4 linked regions of the Drosophila melanogaster genome follow. The protein of the gene in region 2 interacts with the protein of the main gene of each other region in a pairwise test. Each region holds a gene or a part of one and is shown on either strand. Other genes may lie near its edges. The genes, in order: CG17362, CG4617, CG3610 and CG14110.

The links.
Region 1: the proteins of CG4617 (region 2) and CG17362 interact in a two-hybrid assay, tested with the Drosophila melanogaster proteins (one large-scale study listed by BioGRID).
Region 3: the proteins of CG4617 (region 2) and CG3610 interact in a two-hybrid assay, tested with the Drosophila melanogaster proteins (one large-scale study listed by BioGRID).
Region 4: the proteins of CG4617 (region 2) and CG14110 interact in a two-hybrid assay, tested with the Drosophila melanogaster proteins (one large-scale study listed by BioGRID).

What each region holds. Positions count from the first base shown.
Region 1 is NT_037436.4:13,984,197-13,988,471, reverse strand, and holds CG17362 (uncharacterized protein), read right to left. Parts: upstream 1,853-4,275; 5' UTR 1,818-1,852; coding exon 1,356-1,817; 3' UTR 1,288-1,355; downstream 1-1,287. Other genes in the region: CG9040 (uncharacterized protein), read right to left, coding at 45-530; CG17364 (uncharacterized protein), read left to right, coding at 2,964-3,351.
Region 2 is NC_004354.4:7,101,620-7,107,389, forward strand, and holds CG4617 (uncharacterized protein), read right to left. Parts: upstream 2,873-5,770; 5' UTR 2,776-2,872; coding exon 2,742-2,775; intron 2,686-2,741; coding exon 2,173-2,685; intron 2,111-2,172; coding exon 1,401-2,110; 3' UTR 1,216-1,400; exon of another isoform or gene 1,091-1,215; 3' UTR 936-1,090; downstream 1-935. Other genes in the region: CG8300 (uncharacterized protein), read left to right, coding at 3,537-3,773, 4,175-4,495; fz4 (frizzled 4), read right to left, coding at 5,762-5,770.
Region 3 is NT_033777.3:14,842,365-14,847,770, reverse strand, and holds CG3610 (uncharacterized protein), read right to left. Parts: upstream 2,729-5,406; 5' UTR 2,565-2,728; coding exon 1,098-2,564; 3' UTR 1,034-1,097; downstream 1-1,033.
Region 4 is NT_037436.4:13,382,455-13,387,271, forward strand, and holds CG14110 (uncharacterized protein), read left to right. Parts: upstream 1-2,334; 5' UTR 2,335-2,356; coding exon 2,357-2,420; intron 2,421-2,472; coding exon 2,473-3,455; 3' UTR 3,456-3,471; downstream 3,472-4,817. Other genes in the region: ImpL1 (Ecdysone-inducible gene L1), read left to right, coding at 351-1,451; CG10171 (uncharacterized protein), read right to left, coding at 4,261-4,817.

The sequences.
Region 1 (4,275 bases), on a different chromosome or scaffold from region 2:
AAACTTTCAGTGACTATGGGGAATTTATCCTTTTTTCGAACTGCTTAGCCTGTGCGTTTGCGTTTGTTGGCGGCAGTATTCGCCTTCTTCTTGGCTGCCACAGGTGTCTTCTTCTTTTGGGCAACAGGTGTTTGCTTCTTGGCAGACGCGGCTGCCGCTACTTTGCGTTTGGGAGCAGCGGTGGTGGTGCGCCTGCGCCGTCTAGCTCTGCGTGCAGCAGTTTTCTTGGCTTTTTCTGCCTTGGTTGGAGTTGAACTGGAGGTCGTTTCGGCGGAGGAACCATCTCCAGAAGTTTCTGAAGAACTACCTGTATCGGAAGCTTCGCCGGAGGAACTGTCCTCGGAGGTACTAGCATCATCTTCTGAGCTACTGGATGCACCAACACCACTTTCCGAACTGGACTCTACATCAGAGTCGTCATAGTAGTCATCACCATAGTCGTAATAATCGTAATAGTCATCGTCAGTGTCATCAGCACCCGTTACGAAGGCAACCAATATGGCCAGGCTTAAAACCAACAGCAGCCTCATCTTTTTTTTTTTGTATCTATAGAGTCAACGAACAGATAGGTAACCTTAGGTATAAACGTCTGAGTTTAAAAGTCTTCAACACTGGGTATTTATAGTTTTTTCTCCTCTGAAGAAATTTATAAATATATAAAGCTTTTTTACATTATTTTTCTATGTACATCTGTAGAATGCAAATATTGGTTTTTTAATTCATCGTCTTAATTTTCGGTGGCTTAGAGCACCTGTGTGTGCTGCTTGTATTTGTTTAACATTTTTCGATTGCTATATGTTGAAATTATGAAATTATATTTTGTGTTAGAGCACGAAAAAGTAATATAAACTCTTTTATATTAAAAGAGCCAAGGTCACAAATGTCTTATCTGGATTTTTGAACAATTTGTCTATGGTTTACGCGTTAGGCGACCTGCTAGTAGTTTTATAGAAAAAATAGATATGACATTAAACGTCTTTAAAATTATATAATTTTTCAAGTATATGCGGTGTATGTTTTTGTTTATCAAAAATATATTTATTTACAAATGAGGGAAAAAACACGTGCCGATAAAAACTTATGTAGAATGTTTTCTTGTCTTTTGAACATTGGGTGAAATAGTTAAATATATTTCAAAATTTCTGTGATATTCAAGTTTTGTACAAAATTCATAATAATAAACACCCATACCCAACAACCACATTCTTGGTAAATATCATTATCATTATTATATATTAATTCAAAACCTAACTTATAAACGTCATAGAAAAAAATCTTGGTAATTTTGGGAACAAATTTTTTTGGTATAATTTTTTATTTTTATAATTTGTAGCTACGAATATAATAAACTGGATTTATCCAGAGCGCCTACGTTTGTTGGGTCCAGCATTTGCCCGCTTCTTGGCGGCAACAGGTGTTCGCTTCTTAGCCGCCTTCTTGTTATTACTTTTCTTGGCAGCGGCGGCATTGCGACGTTTAGCTGCTGCCTTATTCTTGTTGTTCCTGTTGTTTTTCCTGGCACCAGCTCTTTTGTTCTTTTTGACAACTGGAGCAGCAGTTGGTGCTTCCGTAACATCGCTAGAGCCCTCGTAGTCGTCATAGGAATCGACGTCCCCAGAGTCGTTTCCACTGTCGACGTCAGTGGAGCTATCACTAGTGTCTCCAGAATCAGCAGTGTTGTCTTCGGAGCTACCGGCAGTATCGTTGTCATCAGCGTAATCGTAAGAGTAATCTCCATCGTCAGACGAATCAGTTGTCTGGGCCACAGCCACGTGGGCTACGAAGACTGCCAATGCCAGAACCAGAAGAAGTTTCATTTTCGTTTTGGGGAGATTTTGTGATCTAAACGAAGAAAGCTCAATCCTCTGGTTTATATACCAACATATCAGTCGAATCTCGTTTTTCATGAATCAAAAGTAAATATGATTAAACAAACACACATTCGTTTACTTTGGGCCAGCTGTGTAGATGTTTTTTTGATTATCAATTTGTTTTAGAAATTTTAGATAATAATATTAGCCCCTGGTGGTTACCTGTAAATACTTTTATAAATCAAGTAGATATATAACGTTTTATGTTGTGGAATAAAATAATATATTGTTTGTCGTCTACAATATAAAACGAACGTTTATAGATCCACTTTATCTACACGCAGTTAAAATTGCGTTCACTTTCAGAAAACGTTTTCAAACGCGTAATCTACGTGATTATTTAATGTGATGGCACGCACTACTCATATTATTTATGGTTATTTTAGTGAAAGCACAAATTTATATGTTTGACCTTTTTCCGTGCAATTTCAGCTCGGGATAACGAGCCGCGGCAGACCGAAAGAGGACCAACCCAGATTCGCAAAGTTCGTGCCATAAATCTGCAGTTTGCATGGAATTAATACCCGACTAGAAGGCGGCGGCAGACGTGCAGCGGTGCTGCACATGCAACACACATTAGTGGGTCACTCGAAGATGATGACGCTGCTGACCGCAACGGCAACGGTAGAAGTAAAACCAACAAAAACAAGCGCCACTCGAGCCGATTTGTGGCAGCGGGGGCAAATTATATAAAATTATCATGCAGGGCAGGCAGCTAGCTAGTTGGCCACTTGACAACGGCAGGCGGGACAAGGCTAAACATCATCATCAGGAGCAGCAGCAGCAGCAGCAGCAGAAGCACCACTACCATCACCACCAGCACCAAAAGCAACAACAGCGGCCGGCGACGTATACGTAATGTGCAGCATGACGTATACGTAATGTGCACCGGGGTTTGGCCAATTTGTCCAAAGCGAGCTATAAACCACTGAGGCAGCGGAAACGCAAACCAAAAACCGAAACTCGAGCTGCAAACTATAACATAAACTGAAACTGCTAACGACGCAAACGGAAACTTCTTGGCCAAATGGCGAAAGTTCGCAAACAATTGCGAATGTGTTGAGAAGCGGCTGGCGGTGCGAAAATGACAAAATGGCGAAGTTAACGTTGCCTTGTCTACTGCGGCGACTGCAGCTGATGGCGCAACAACATCAAAAACAGCAGCAGCTGCATCCACACGGCTGCCACTTGATGGCCATGCAACTGGGCCAGGCCGTGCTCCTCTACGGTTGCCTTCTCCTGCTCCACGCCTCCGTGTCCGCCTCTGTCCTGGCCACGTCCTCCGACTCGGCCGCCATTCCGATCCTGCTGAACATCTCCAGCACGATGGATCTGGATGGCGTACCGCAGCAGCAACAGCATGAGCATACCGAGAAACGCACGCGGAAGCGTGATGCCGCCAATGTGCCTGATGATGACGACTATGGCAGTTATCCGGACGACGTCGACGAATTGGAGGCCTTGCTTAATAATAAGTCAGGTGGGTTCGGGTTCAAAAATCACTACATTTTATTTTAAAATCTATTTTAAAGCTATTGATAAATATGTTTAAAGAAATCCCAAATTCTATAACTATAAAATAACTTGCATGTATTTTCGTTGTACATATAATTCCAATTCTGCAGCTTTTATTTTTGTTTAAATGTATATACACACCAGTTACTTAATTAAGTCCTTAAATACAAGTACTTGCTGTGAAAACTTATCTGTGCGCCGCTTTGTTTAATCCCATTTCGTAAATGAATATTTGTGGCTGCTGCACTTGCGAACCGAAATAAATGGAATTTTTGTTGATAATGCACTTGGCCGTCGCTGCGTTTCGTTAGTTTGCATTGACCTTTGCTCGGTTCCGGAGTCCCAAGTCCAAAAACCGCCGAGATCATGAGAGCCATAAATTGCACAACATCCAGTCGCCATTCGGGTCCTTTCATGGTTGTTTGTTTAACTTTTATTTTTGGCACATCCTGACCACCTGGCACCGCATCTGCCGCAGCAGCTGCAACTGCATGATTCACGGTCCCATCCATTTTATCTTGGCCATGATGCGGGAATTACCAAATACGAAAACACACGCTGGTAGCCCATTATAAGTTTTTCCAAAAAAAATAGTAGGAAAACAGCATGGATGTGCAAACAGATAGAATTGTGATTTTAATGCAATTGATATTCGGTGTGCAATTAAATATTCAATTTTGATCCAATTTGCATGCCAACGGCAAGCTGATAGTAACATTTCATATATGCATATTTGCACCTAATATGAACATTCAATTTATTTCTGACAAATTTGGTAATTTGCGTTGTTAATGTGCCAGCCTATAATATTTGATTCTAAGAGAATTGCATTTGATATTTGTATGAAGACAATTAAATTTTATGATTTACGGTTGAGTAAACACTCTGA
Region 2 (5,770 bases):
GGGCGGGGAGCTAGTGCACTGCGAGAAAATGTCTGGACTGCAAATCGCAAGGTATTCCATTTCTTTTTAAGCTTTGAATTTAACAGTTACTGAATCGAATTTATTTTCTAAACAAATTGTGCTTAAGAATCCTTTAAAGTAATTCATTTCACATTCATGTTTTTTGGCTAATGATATTTCAGCTTAGTCTTAAACCTATTTTATCTTATTCAACCAATCTTTCCATCTTTTTTTGTGCCTTGCTTTACCATGTTATTTTTCTCAGTGCACAGGAAGATTGTTTACATCTCCCATTCAGAATCAATCGCCGCACTAATCCAATTTGTAGCGCTGCCGTCACGCAATTCGCCCCTACAACCTGACCGTCCACCTACACAAGTATTTTCCATCCCAATCACAGCTGCTGCCCCCCCCCCCCCCGGAAAATCCAAAAAAAAATGCAGGTGGAAAACTCACCGTTTTTTTGCTGCCGCGGATGTGGCTGCGGATGCTGTGCGTGGGCGGAAGCGGTGGCGGATGCGGATGCCGCGCTGACGTGCGGATCCGGGGCGGAAGAGGATTCGGAATCCCAGGCCCACGCAGGATTCTCAGGGACCCAGAGCTTGCTGCACTGCATCCGGGGATGTGGGAAGATTCGATTTGGCGTCCGTCTTCTTATTTACTTTCCGCGGACTGGCTAGTGGTGGGCAGGGCGGCGATGTAACATCGATAGCTCGCCGTTGTAACGGCAAGCCAAGTCATCGATGGCGCACCAGCGAAGTGCCATCTCTAGAAAGTAAGCAAATAATTAACGTATTTATAAATATTTAAAGTTTATATCTAGCTTATAGTTCCACTATTCGAACCTTCAATTATGGCTTATTTGAGATCATTTTTAAAAATATTTCACTTTTATAAAGATTTTTGGGCAGAGGAAGAAATCATCTCATATTTTTAGCTTTTATATTTATCTTTATTTATTACGTTTATTATAAAAAGTGCCTGCTTAATTTGAAGCTGAAATAAGAATCTTGTGATTCACATTTATTTCACTTAAGGATTATAGGATATTTAATGTTGCCTAATTCTACCAATGTTTCGATGATTTGTGCTTAAATGTTGCAAAAAACAAAAAGTGGAAATAAATAAGTGAACTACTAAACTTTTTAGCGTACGAATTTCAATTCAAGAAGCAAATAAAAAAAAAACTCAATTAGAGGGAGACCTTTTACTTACGATCTAGATGCTTCAGTTTATCAACTAGGCATATCTAATGCGATTAACTATTTCCAGGTTGGCCAACTCCTTACAAACATACAGATCCCGATGGCGACTCTAGTCGCCGCTGGAAGCGCAGCGGCCTGGTATGATTATATATATATATATATGTATGCATTTGCAGTTGCAATCCGGAATTTACTTCATAGTCCGGGCATTACGTAGGCGATGTTGTCGAGCGTGTCGGCCAGATTTTTGCTCAACTGCACATTGTTCTCCATGCCGGGTATTTGCGTGGTCATGCAGAGCAGCGGTCCCATGGCGCAGAGCAGGCTGTCGAGGAGCACGGACAAGCTGCCCGATAGCGCCACGTATCCATTGTGCTTCTTCAGTCGCTCGCCAATCACAGTCAGGCTCTCGCCGAGCAGCTTCAGATGTGCGGCCGCATCGATCACTTCGATGCTGGTCTTTTGCACCTCCTCCTGCTTCAGCTGACCCCCAGTCCGGCCGCTGACGTCCGCATCCGTGTGCACTTGCGCTTGTTTCGTCGCGCTCTTCGAGACCTGCGACCTGGCACTTCGTGTGCTGATGCTGCGCCGCTGTGTGTTGGTGCCAGTCGCTGCTGCTGCCGCCGCTGCGGCAGCCGCTTCTATTGAGGATTGCTGCCGATCGGCGGCCAGTTTTCGAGTGCGACTTGTTGTCGCACGGTTCTGAAAGATCGTCTCGTGCTGCGTGGCATCTGCCAGAGCCGTGCTGCCGTTGCTCGCCGGCTGGGTTGCACCGTTTGCAGCGGTTTTGTCGCGAGTTTTGGCCCTGGACGCCTCGATTTTGGCCTTGCGCCGCCAGGTGTTCTTGTCCCGATTGGAAACGTTCGCCCACAGCTCGCTGAGGCGTCTGGTCGCGCTGGTGAAGTCTGCAAGCGTGCGGGGAATGGTCAATAAGCGATAGAGAGCGCACAGATGTGTAGCAACCTACCTAGATCCTGGAGATCCTTCTGTCGCGCCTCCTTGGCCCACAGACTGTAGGCGGTGTAGCGCTGCTTGCCCTTGTCCTTGCGCTGCACCTTGGCACTCACCACCTTGCCGTCCTTGAGCACCTGCCGCTTGTTGGACTTCTCGCGCATGTAAAGACTCTGACGGACGGATGACTCTTGGCTGGTGGCCTCCGCCTGGACACCATCGACGATATCCTGCACCAGATTGTCCAGTTCATCGTCGGAATTCAGAATGGCCACGACCGTTGCCGTTGTATCCGGATGGAATTCCTCGCTATCCGAGATAATGCCATCATCCACGAGCATCTCCTGGTCAAGATCCAGATCACGCAGCGCATTCGATGGCCTGCCGCGGCCCGAATATCTGGCTGGCTGTCTGGCGCCACTGTGACGCCTTGTGCGCTTCTCGATCTCATCCGGAGATTCAAAATCCAACAATTTCGACGATTTTTTGCGTACGCGTCCGCTGCGCGAAACACCCGTCACCTGGAAATCTAATTGGGAATTTATGACCCCGATTCCATTGACGGCTGCCGCTTTTTCCACTCACCCTTGGCCACCAGGTGCGAGGTTGGGGACTCCATGTTTGGATACCTGCTTTGGAAGATTGGGATGCAATTTGTTGCAAAAAGAACGAATTAAACGAAGCAAACAAAACAGCTGTTTGGTGTGACCAGAGCTTTAAAACGCGATGCATTGCAAGCGATGGTTAAATATGGAACACTAGATAACCATTTTAGTTTTTGAATATATTGCTAAGTTAATAACCATTGCACCAGTCAATTGTACAGAGTAGGAAACCATTAAACTTAATTATTTAATAATATAATATTTTTTATTGTTATATTATTTAAATTATAAGCACAGGATGTGCACGCACAACTTAATTTTTTTATTATATTATTAATTATTTTTATAAACAAAAACATTTACGATATATACGACTGCAATTTCATTTTTATTACAATACATCTAAATTAATATCCAGTTAGCTTGCAAAAACCATCAGCTGGTCACACTGCCGCACCTTTGTTTTGTTTCGACTTTTTTTTTTGCTGTTTGAAAGCGGCTTTTAGTTTATCGATTTGCTTTGCACCTAACTGCGCCAAGCGCCCCATGGCACGCGATTCTCGCCGTTTGTGAGTCGTTTCGCCGGTGGCCCCCAACCCAAGGACATTTTGGCCCCCAGCCGGCCGTATACGCATTTGGCGTTGACCCGCGTCCGCTTTTTTCATGACCAAAACGGCGGCTGCGATTCAAACGAAGCTCAAGCGCAAGCAAAAACATTCGCGCAGCGTCAATCAATCGAGGCGGTACTTAATCGGGTTTAGAGCTATCCATAGCCATGTCAGCGGAGAGGAACAAGAGTGGCGAAGTACGCAGTGCAGCTGGAGGATTGGAACTGGCATCTGCGAGTGGAGCAAGTGCATCCGAGACGGACAATGTGAGCGCCCTTGAACTGCAGTCCAACAAGCGCATGCTGTACTTTAGCGACGGCGTCATGGAGGAGTTGTCCTCGGGCAGCGAGGACGAGGCGGATGCGGAAATGGGCGACAAATGCTACGACGTCCATTTAAACGAGGTACATACATTCAGCAAGGATTATGGGTGGAGTAATGCACTTCCGGCCATCCATTTAGTACATGGTCATGTAGCTGCATTGCTTGTTTACCTTTTTTAAAGCGGGATTGTCCGGATTAACACAGTTAGTTAAATTTGCTCAAGATTAGCCCAGTTCTCCTGATCCAGATAATAACTTTTCACTTTGAGCTCGAGACGTGACTAATGTTCGAAGCGAATTATGATAATAATGTGAGAAATTTTATATCTTTCAATGAAAATGTGTGTTTTGAGCTGTTTAAGTAAACAAACAGGGCCCAGGGCCACGAAAAAGATAAGCAGCTGCCACCCCCCGCCCCCCTCCTCATTGACCATTTAGCGTGACTCATTTAGCCCGCTTTTTTTTTTTTTGCCACCTTTTAGAGCGAAATGCCGCTGGGACCACGCCTGCGTTACAAGGCCAGCAGGATGGGCAACCGATTCCTGGCCGGCATCGACTATGTGGGCGGTGGGCTGGCCCACCTGCTTGGTATCACCAGCAGCAAGTATGCCAGCGAATTGGAGAACTACCACAGGGCCAAGGAGCACGGCGACGAGGACCTTGACAATTGGCACCCGCGGGCCATGTCGACCACGACCAGTAGCAGCAACAACAACAGCAGCGGCAACAACAATCGCAACGAAACCATCGTCCTATGCGAACCAACACGCAGCGAGGCGACCTTGCCACCCACACGGCAGTAGGCGCCCACTGGGCCACCCACTTGCCAGGTGGGTTGTGCAAGGTGGCGATTTTCTTGGCAGGAAGGCGAAACAAAATGCTCATGGAGTACTGGCGACACTTGGAGACTCTTTTACTTGGTAAAAACCATGCGAAACGAAATGAATCAAAACAGATATTAACTTTTCGACACTTTATTCGCTAGCAAATAAGTTATACATATACATATATGATAATAAAAAAAATACACATATAAAATACAATACAATACAATACATATACTGTTAGTCGCGGGCTCCATACGATTCGTATTAGCCCGCAATTGTATAAAGGTTAGTTAGTTTCTTAGCTAGTTAGTTGGACATTTAGAAGTAGGACTTTTTCTGTGCGAAAATCAGCAGAAGTTGAAGGAAAACCCTCAGTAATTCCGCCAAAGTTCGTTGCTGGAAAAGGACTCTTTTAAGGTAATTTCATGATATTGACTCGTTTCAGTTAAGTCCCTAAAGCTAATGGCACACTGAATACAATTAGGCATTACGGCTACGATTGCAATTGCGTTTTTTTTTTTCGATTGTTAAGTACACTTGTTTCGGCATCGGGAGAAGACAGCAAAGTTGGAAACCTAGTTTCTGGTTCCCATTTTTATTTTTTTGTTTTTGAAGACATGAACATGCGTATCACAGTATTTGGTTGCTGCGCGTTTCTCTCTCTCTCTAACTCAAAAAAAAAGAATTTATATAAAAATGCTAAATATATATATGTATATATGTGTTATGTACGCAAAGGCGACACACATTAAGTCCTAATGTCTAAAAGGCAAGAGCGATTATTGAATTTGGTTACACCAAAATGGTAAAAAGGCAACGCAAGGGGCAACTAATTAGGAGCAACATTAAGTACACACAGGAAAATAGGATATGAAGCCCATCTAGGGCAATTACAAATACATTGTAGATGACCTATGACCTCGCGATAAAGGCCCAAACTAAAGCACTAAGAGCACATTTCCGGGGTTATATACACAGTACATAGATCGGTTTACCCCATTGTGTTCTATGGACAGGCAAAGCAACTAAAATCGAAATAACGATATCGTTATCTCACGATCGTTTTATGACAAACAAATTGGACCGTTTCCCCACCCATTTAAGTTGCTTTGCCTCTTTCGATACCCGAAACCGCATTAAGTTATAGTAGAGGATTGACTTTGGCACAGCAGCTGCTGCAGGAACATTGACTGGAAGCAGGAAGCATTTCCTGCCCTGAAATGGTACCTAATCCAATTCCGTCTAGAGTAG
Region 3 (5,406 bases), on a different chromosome or scaffold from region 2:
CAATGCAAACACATTTGCAGCCACACGACGACTCAACTCCTATTAGAGCCAGTAACGCTCTTCCAGGTGGAAGAGCTGCAGACACGCCTGTGCACACAACTTCACATCTTTTTGGCCAACTTGAAGATCTGGCCCAAAAAAAAAGTTTCGGCATAAAAAGTTTGCCAACCAAGCTGCTCCTCTATGACCAGACCAGAGTCGAAAAGACAAAACAACCTCACACCATTCAGCAGACTTAAGTTGAAACAGAAACTGGGTTGTGATTGTGCTGGTCGCTTCTATAAGTCTGCACTGAAAGAAACCAAGCATTGATCTAACAAGAATTTCCCTAATTTCCTGGTTAGTACAACTAGCATGTTTCATTTTAATAGTATGACTACAGTTTATAGAACTAGTTGAGCTCGCAGCACCCAAAAAGAGTTTCTTTCGATAGTTTACAGTGTACTGAAAGCATAAATATATCTTTTTTTCTGCACATTGAAGCTGAAACTTGGAGCCAAAGTTATTGCCAGGGAAAGTTTCCGCAGGTCGTCAAGAGAGTGCTCCAAAATGGTTGCCAAAAAACTGACTTTGCCAACATTCTTGAGCCTTCTTCGCCAGCCAGTTATGAAATATAAACCTGTCTCCTCCGGCAGCCGGCTAATGAGTCCAGAAATGGAAAGTAAAGGAAATGTATGTAAGCCCGGTTTCAAAGTGCACTTACGCTCCCATCTGCGTGCGTTCGAACCGTATTATTGTAAACAAATTTCCAGCTGCAATGTCGGTAAACCGGTTGCTCGAGTACGAAACCTGGAAACCTGACCTGCTGCAAAAGCTTGGCCAAAGAATGGATAAGAAAGTGAATTTCATTTGCCATCCCGGCAGCGCCAGCAAAGTCTATTTAAAAGTGCAGAGCAGCAAAATGGAAAATTAAGCACATCCTGTGCCAGTGGGCTGCTTCACATGAGGTAGTATACTTGATAAATAATAGCCAACATCCAGGGGGGCGTAGGTTTAATAATAACCCGAAGAAAAAAACAAAAAGTACTTTTTTGTATTTTTTGTTTCTACAAGCCTTAATACGGGCATCTAGCGCGTATTAAATGAAAACTCATTAACTACTTCTTAAGGTTTAAAGACTTGATCTCCTCTTCGGTGAGAATGGATTTCTTGAGCGCTGAAAGAACTTCAGGTGGCTGCTTGGAGAGCAGCTTCATCCGCTCAATAGCCACAAGCTCATCCTGGCGATTCTGTTGGTTGTAGACCTCCTGTACAATGTCAACCACCTCCTGGGCAGCGGCTTTCCTGTTATTCTTGGCCTCCACGACCATGTGGGCCATGTCCTGGTAGCATTGGACATCCAAGCGCCGGGTGTTCTCCCGCTGGGCCACTTGCATTCGATACTGTCGTTCGCCGAAGCACATGGGATCCTTGGGCATGACCAGGGCATCCTGCACACCCTTATCTCGGAAGAACTTCTGCTCTTCCCGCTGGCTGAGGAGCTGTTCGCGAATCTCCTGCTTCTTGGCCATTTTGGTTCTAGCCTGTTCCAAGGCCTTCGCGTTCTCCTTGGCCTTGTGCTCGCGGATTAGCAGACTGGTGATGACTTGATCTCGGGACTCCAGATCGTGCTTGATCTGGCTGAGCTGGAAGCCCAGCCGAGCGGCATTAATGTCCCTGGCCTCGATCTCATCAAGGCGTCGTTTCCGTGCCTTTGACACATAGGCCGCCGTAACGGGTCCCAGGGCATCAAGGAGTCCTCTCTCGGGCTTATTCTTTTGGGCCAGAGCGTAGGCCTCGCGGGTTTGCTTCAACATGGCTGCCGATTGGTCTAGGGATTCGAGGAGCACCTTGCGCTGCTGCGCCTTTGTAACTGCATCCTTTAGGATTCCCTGCTCCACTATCTCCTTGCATTCCTTTAGCTCTTGACGACCCTCGGCCACAGCTATTCGATGATCTTGTATCCGCTTGGTACGCCCCTCGGTAATCTGGGCCATTAGATCTCTACGAAACACGGCTGCCTTCTGAGCCCTTCTTTGCTTCTCCTCCTTCAGCTCCTTTTCCACGGCTCGCTGTTCCGCCAAAGCTTCGGCCCGCTCCCGCTGCTTATCTTCCACCGTTTGTTTGATATTGTTGGTGATCTTGTTCTTGACAGCCAACGCTGTGTGGGCACGGGCCACTTCCATCTCGAGATCCCTCAAATTTTCCACATTGCGATGAAGTTGAAGGCATCTACTGGCCTCCACCTGCTGGCGAGCCAGTTCCCTTGCTACACCGAGGGTGACATCCACATCGGTTTGCTCCTTCCGTTGGCGCGGATGCAGGTGACTGTTGAGCATGGCGGCCACTTCGTCCACCTGGTGTTTGACCATTCGGAACAATGAGCTCTCCGCGACAGACGACTGTGTAAGAATGCGGCACACATCCTTATCAGAAACACAGTCGTCCTCGCCCTTCGGCATTGGTTTGAACTCGGTCAGAAGATTCGGTACGGGCTCCTGGGAGGCGGTGGCAAAAATCGAGGCTCCCGGTTCATCCCAGACAATATGGCCAACGCGATCCGACTCCGGTTGGAGATTTTCCATCGTGGTTCAAGAAAACAAACCACTTCCTTTTAAAGAAATTACTTAGGAAAATTTAACTGGGAATGAAATATGTGATATGTCAAGGCGTTTTGAGTGGTATTAGTTCACTCAAAATGTTTTTTTTTTGTGCTAGTAACCTAACGAAATCTACTGACTAACTGAAGACTGCTAGAAAATTTTCAGATATTAAAAAACGACAGTTTTCAGCTGGATAAATAAGTTTAGAAAATAATATTCAGGTTAATTCAAATTACAAGTATGTTATGAAGAATTAAGTGAAACAGATAAGAGCTGGCTAATATTTTTAAGCTGCGAATATAAAGCCACTTTTCTTGATTTTCTGTCATTGACAGAATCTGTCAATTGCCCACGATTACAGAATGTTCCCTTTATATCGGTAAGTTAGCTTACCGTAATTGAAAGCCTGTCCTTCCGTAATTTCAAATTACTTCCTCTGTGAGATTCTGGAAAGGCATTGTAGCTTTATGCAACTACTTTTCCTGAAGCTCAGAAACATGCACTCTACTGTGGGCTGTCTGTGGAGGTCTGTGTGGACTTCCAGTGGATTAGCATATTTGAGTGGGTTCTGGGCCAAGAGGCCAAGAGATCTCTCTCTCTCTCTCACCTACTGCATGGCCGCATTGGGAGCCACAAGCTCGACGGGGGCCAACTTAATGGGGATATGTGCATCAAAGTAAGGCTCAAGTGCTTCCCTTGCGAGCGCGTTGTTGCCCCGACTATTGGCTATATATACCTTTGAATTTGCATACGAATTTGTATGGAAAATCACAACCGAGCTAAACGATTGAGTTTCTGAGCTCGAATGCATTGCACTCAATAGAAATAATATTTCTCCTGAATTTAAAACAGCTATTGAGCTAAAAAGGTATTTAAATAAAAGTCAATTATTTACAGAATACTGAGTATATTGGAAAATAAGATAAAACCAATTATAATTTGTTCACAATTGCAATCAAACATTTTCAACATACGTATATTTAGAATTATAAACTATGGTAGACGTTCTAGAGCGATCTGTCGAGGATTTTTATCGTCTGGCTTCCATAATTTATATATAGTTATCTAACTGCTGAGCGCTGGTTAAATGCTGCCCTGTCATCGCCGTCTTCATCATCATCGTAATCATTGGAGGCAGAAAAGAGCGGAGCTCTCCCAGACCATCAGTCACTGTCCACGACAGAAGCTCATTGGCGGAGTCTCTGTGGCAGGAGGGGATTGAGTTCGTGGCGGGGGGGCATGGGGAATGGGACATGAGTAGCTCCAGTAGCAGCTGCAGCTTCCGAAGGCACTTTCCTCGACGCATTTGTTGGCTGTCCATGGTTTTTGCCGACCAGGGTCCGGATAACCTTTCCATTTTACAACTGTCAACGGCGCAGCGAACGCGATTTGCCAGCGGTTTGTTTTATTTATTTGTTTTTTTTTTGTGCCCCCCCCCCCCCCCTTATTGCCATTTATATTTTCCTCCTGTTTTCCCCAGTGTCGTAATTACGCGTAAAGTTTTGTGCCTGCATTTGAAATTGTACGCAATTTTCCCCGAAAGTGTCAACGCATGTCGGGGCTTTAAAGTTTTGAAAAATGTTAATTTGTTGTCGTTGCTAATGCTGCATTGGGTTTTTCTCTTTTATTTTCCTTTAGCCGCCAATGCAGCTGCTGTTTGAGTTGAGTTCAGTTTTGTTTGTTTGTTGGTTGGTTGGCAATTCGAATCGAACGCGTCTGGCATTACATGACACTCATTATTGCACATTAAGTTGGATGGATGATGGAAAGTGGCGGTCCGACCCTATGAGACAGCAGAATCGCTGGACTGGGGGGGACAATAGAAAGCATTGTTGCTTACCTTAATTGATATAATAAGTATATCTGCCACTCGCACGGAAGTTCGGCATTAAGTCTTTAGCCAGGTCATCGTCAATTAATCAAACCATCTTCGGAGAGAAACTTGCCATGTCTGGTTCAACGAACTTTTCGCGGGGCTTTTCATTGGTATTTAACATTTATGTGTCTCGAATGTAAATGCTTAAAAAAAAGGAGAGGGTAGGGTTTTATTTAGATTTTAAATCAAGCTACATACTACCTACGTTAGGTTAGAAGTAGTGTCGAGATATTATTTCACCTGTAACATCCTTTGATATCTACTGATTTAGGGAACCCTTTTCAAGCGAAGGCAAGCCTTTCGCTATTTGTTGACCTGGAATGTCGGACAAGTGAGGAATGTACACAATGGCAAAGTGCTTGAATCGCCATGTACCGTGCATATATAGTGGTCATATAGGGTTTCTTGTATTCCACTGGGCAACCACATGAACGAAACTTTATCCCCTTGACCCTTTGGCCCCCGTGGCTAGTTCGAAGGCACTTGACTGCTGGATTTGTGCAGATGATTTTATTTTATTTATACACTTTAACTTTGAATCCATTTAATATTGAAATTTCTTCGTAACTTTAGACGGGACTATCAATAATTTCCGGAAAAAAGATGCAGGACGGCAGCAATACGGAAAAACTTTCAACTGCAAGTGGCAGACAGCTCAAGACAAAGTTTCAAGTGCAATTTTCATATAATTTCCATACAAACAAACAGACGGTTCACTTGGGGCACGACCTGAGGTCGCGTTTATGTTTTATTGAAAATGAAAATATCAATTTGCCTTTCAGGAATTTATTTGCTACTCATAGTTTCATGTTTTGGAGCTTCTTACAAAGCAGGAAAATTCTTATTAGGAAGTTGAAATGGAAATTTTTTGCACAGATGTTTCGTCTATTCAATGAATAAAAAATATCTATCTATTAATTCCATAAAAGGAACCATGAATAAATTGAA
Region 4 (4,817 bases), on a different chromosome or scaffold from region 2:
AAGGTGTTAAAAAAACACACACACACACAACCAGTTCCAGATCCGAGACATTCTAGATGGCTATCGCTGGGAAGGGTACGACCACAGCCACATCAGTTTGCATAAAATTTCACCAAATATAATATAGTATGAGTACCAAAAAGTTGGCGTACTTTCGTTCGGACCTCGAGACATCGCGAAGTGTAAACAAATCTCGAGAAGATGTGGAACTCTTTGAAAGAGCTGCAGTGGGAAGAAAACCGGTAAGCCCCTAAAGAATTCCCCGCCGAGTGGCTAAGACTGGTACTTAAGCACCGCTCGCCAGAAGATGCGATCAGTTGTTGTGGAGTCGAGCAGCTGACCAGATCAACATGAGGCCATACCAAGTAGTTTGCATCGTAGGTAAGTCTCGCATATCGAAGCTGACCAGTTCTGGAAGTCCCATAATTAACTGGTATGCGCCCATTTCCTTTTTAGCAGTAGCAGCTCTGCTGCTTTTGGAGGCGATTCCCGCGGATGCAAAGCGGCGCAAGCACAAGGGCTCCGATCATCACTATGAAAAGTCTGATCCCCACAAGACCAAGACAAAGACCAAGTGGTCTAGCTCCACGGATTTGGCTGGAAACACTCCAATTTCCACCGAAGAGCACGGCTACTATGTAAAGCGCACCTTTGCGGCTCCCGGTGAGATTGGAGCCGCACAGAAGCGTCTAAGTCCCCCCTATTTGGCCATTCCCATCGCCTGGTTCAGCTGTGAGTCGGGCCAGAAGAATTGCCAGTCTTCCAATTCCGCGGCTATCAACAGTGCCGCGCAGTCCTTGAGCGAGGGCTATCTGTGCGACGATGATTGCGATGAACTGTACGAGCCCATCTGCGGCAGGACCACCTCAGAGGTGGCCGTTTTCTACAACAAGTGCAAGTTGGGTGTAGCCAAGTGCCGATCCCACGGTCTTTGGACGGACTTCGCCTATGCCGAGTGCCAGGCGAAATATCCGCAGGAAACTGCCTATGCCGACAAGAAGTTCCGGTCATCGCCTTATTTCCGGGATGCGGCCATCGTGGAGCAATTGAAGCTGGAGGAGGAGAAGCGTAAGCAGGAGGAGGAACAACACAAGCTGGAGAAGGAGCAAAAGAAGAAGGAGAAGGCTGAGAAAAATAAGAACGAGAAGGACAGCAGCGAAAGCAGCGAGGAGAAGGATGACCAAAAGGAAAACAAGCAGAAGGATCCCCTTTCCCTAATGCCACAGAAGAAAGTGGAATCCACCCAGAAGCCAGTGCCAGTTCCTATTCAAGTAGCAGTTCCAAAACCAGTTTCAGTTTTGGAGCCTGCAAAGACGACCGAGGACATCGCTATGCCGCCTATGCCACTGAAGGACACTCCCACGCCCAAACCTCTGGAGATCGCGCCCCTTCACCAGCAGACCCAACCCAAGGGCAAGGACATTGATAGGCTCAAGTACCAAGTAGCTTAGAAAGCAATGGCTACACAAATCTCACCTAATTATAGTATTTATTTAATTTATTACAACAAATAAAATTCTAAACAACGATAATCATCTATATTTGATAAACAAAATGGGTTTTTTTTAAATACACGCTTTGTAGTTTAAACGTGTATTGGACTACAATTTTTATGGCTAACTTTAATGGTAACCCGACTTTTATATTGTCATAAAAATAAAAATCATAAGATCTGCTTAGCACTTTTATGTAGATATTTTATATGGGATCGAAACGCACTTTTATTTTCCCAAAGTCAGTAAGAGTGTCTTCTTAGTTCTTATGACTCCAGACCAGTTACACTATTTTTCAGATCCCTTGAGCATTTAATTACTGAAATAGGTGCATTGTACATTTACATAGCTATATCTTTGGAAAGACATTAATCGGGATCCAACATTTCTGTGACAAACTAGTATAACTCGAAGCAGATTTAGTAGCAAGGGGAAAGGTGTGTGCAAAATTTGTAATGGGAATGAATACACCTATGATTCTTAACGAACTCATTCTTGATAATTCTTTATGGCCTCTAAAGAACTTTGTGTGTTAAAGTAACGGGTATAACAACTTCAACTTTACATATATATCTTTCAATCAGATAATTTTCAAAACTTTCTTAGAGGCAAATTCACCTCTTTGTAATTAAATTGAGAAGAATTCTAAGGCGATGCAGTTGCATTGAATCAAGTGCATTGACCCCCAAAACAAGTTCTATAAACTGATTGATATCTGAAGCTTGAAAGGGCCATCATCCATTGCCAGGCACTAAACCTAAAAACTAATTGGGCGTGGGATGGACAATGCAACAGGTTGCGGCTGGGTTGCCTATAAAAGCAGCGGGATTTGTGTCACTTGTCACAGAAGTTGACCAACTGCAATGGGAGCCACTAGTGTCGGAGTTCCAGTCTGGAAGATTCAGCTACTGATTCTGCTGAGTGCAGGTGAGAATATTCTAAAAGTTGTAGCTTGTGGTATTTAGTTTTCCTCTCCTAGTTGTTCTCACCATTCAAGCTGCTCCTGTCGAGGTAACCGAAGGAGTGACCCAACCCCCAGCCGAGAAGCTGCAAACGGAGTCTCGTTCCCGTAAAGATGAAGAGCTGGAACTAGAAGAAGACCTGGATGGACGTAATGCCTATATCAACAATCAGTTTGTGCCAAGCGAACCTGCAGAAGTCCTAGAGGATGTGCAGAATACGCCGCTCTACGAGATCCTTCAAAAGCAGATGGAACAAGTGTTGGCCTCATCGGCTCCCAATGACCCTGTCTACGAGCAGCACCGCGAGAAGCAGGATCGTCGCGATCAGAAACCACCACACCAGCCACCGTACTTCTCCGGCGGAGATCGAGATGGTGATCTACAGGATGACTACGAGGACGAGGAGGATCAGACGGATCAGGGTTATCCGTCGGACCCCGAGAAACCGGACGCCGTGTCAGATGCTCCCGAGGATGAGGACCCAGGCTACCAGGCACCTTCGTTGAGCCTTCCAACCACCACCACTCGCAAACCGTACAGACGACGCAGCACAACCACTTTTCAGCCACGAACCACCAGGACAAGAACCACTGCTCAGCCCAGGATCTCGGAAAGTCCATTGAACCAAACCAGCACCACAGAGCAATCACCAAATGTGACCACCAGCACTCCACGGCCCAAGATTGGTTCCAGCACCAAACCCAAGGCAAATCCTCAGCCGGGAAACAGCCTGCCAAGTGACCCGCAGGTTTACCAGCACAAGCGTCGCATCATCTTCAAGACCATCTCAACGGGCTCGCAATTCGTCAACTCGCCAATTGGCGACCTAATGATCAAGTTCTCAATCGGATTTGCCAAGCCAACCACTCCGGGTGGAGCTACCAGCACTGCGGGTTCACATAGTTCGTCCAGTGAGGCTTTACGTGCTCTTTCGCAAAACTTAATTCGAAATTTTGAACTTCAAAAACTAAGAAGAGCCAATAAAGTGCAAAAATATTAGATATACATTATTAACGAAAACAAAACCACGGGTTTTCAATTGGATTCATGTTTTAATGTACTAACAACAATGGATTCGAAGACTTTATGAGTAGTAGCTATATTTCGAACAAAAGATATTTTTAAAACCCTCAGTTGAAGAACTTAATTCTATTCTATTACCTCAAATTCAAAAATTTCGAATTGTGTTATAGAAATTTCATGAATATTTTAATCACCACAACAGCAATTGCTTGTGCAATAAGCAAAACATTCGATTTGGAGCGAGGTCTGCTAAAATTATTCCAGCGGGAACCAATCATTGATCTCCAAATTGTTGAAAACAACTTGAGATGACGCCATAAGAATATACATAACCAAATCAGAAAATGTATTCCGTCACGTACGAGAATTTCGAGACAATGACAATAGATCCACATGTACGGTTCGTGTTTAGTAGAGTTAATACACAAAATGGAGGTGAACAGTCACAGTAACAACAACGTCATAATCCGTAAAGGAACATGGTTAGCTACCTTAGAGTAAATATAATCTAACTGCCTTGGCTATTCGGTGCCCAATCGTTGTTTTCATCGAGTCTCATAGGTTGGTTAGTTCGCTAGGCGATATGTAAGCTTCATAAAAATATATCTATGGAGGGTATTTCACCGGCGTTATGAAATTATAAATGGTTAACAATTGTACATATATACCTGTCTAAAAGGCTTTATGAGGATGGGTTTATGTTTAACACGGAATTCAATCTTGTGAGGCAGCCTTTGACATTTTTAGCTATTGAATGCAGCTAATCCTAATCCAAAACAGCATTAGCGCACGGGCCAGAATCTCTGGGCCAGGAGAGGAATGGTGACGCCGGTGACGATGCTGGAAATCAGGTTGACACTATGGTTGTCCAGGATGCGCAGTCCGCTTACGTGGCGCACTCCCTTTCCAGGTGTATCCACAATCTTGCCTTCCTCATTGATGCCCGAGAACTGCAGCAGACCACCTAGGACAGAGTCCAAAAGGGACCCAAAAAGTCCAGCGATGCCACCGAAGGCGATGATTGGCCATTGTGGTGGGCTAATCAGAAGCATTTTGGCCTCAACCGTGTAACGAACGGTGACGAAATAGCCAAAGCCGACGAGCAGACCGCCGAGCAGACTCACCGCGACGCCGAGCAACGAAACCCCACCATTGGTACCGCGCGGCACTCTGCGCCAGGTGATGATAGAAACTGGATCGCGTTGCGACAGCACGGATCCTAGTTCACTGGACCAGGTGTCGCCATTGCAACAGGCAAACGCACTCATAACGGCCACACCCAGCCAGCTGGATCGGTATTCTCGTGCGAAGTCCACCGCCCGCTCGCCACTACCGCAGT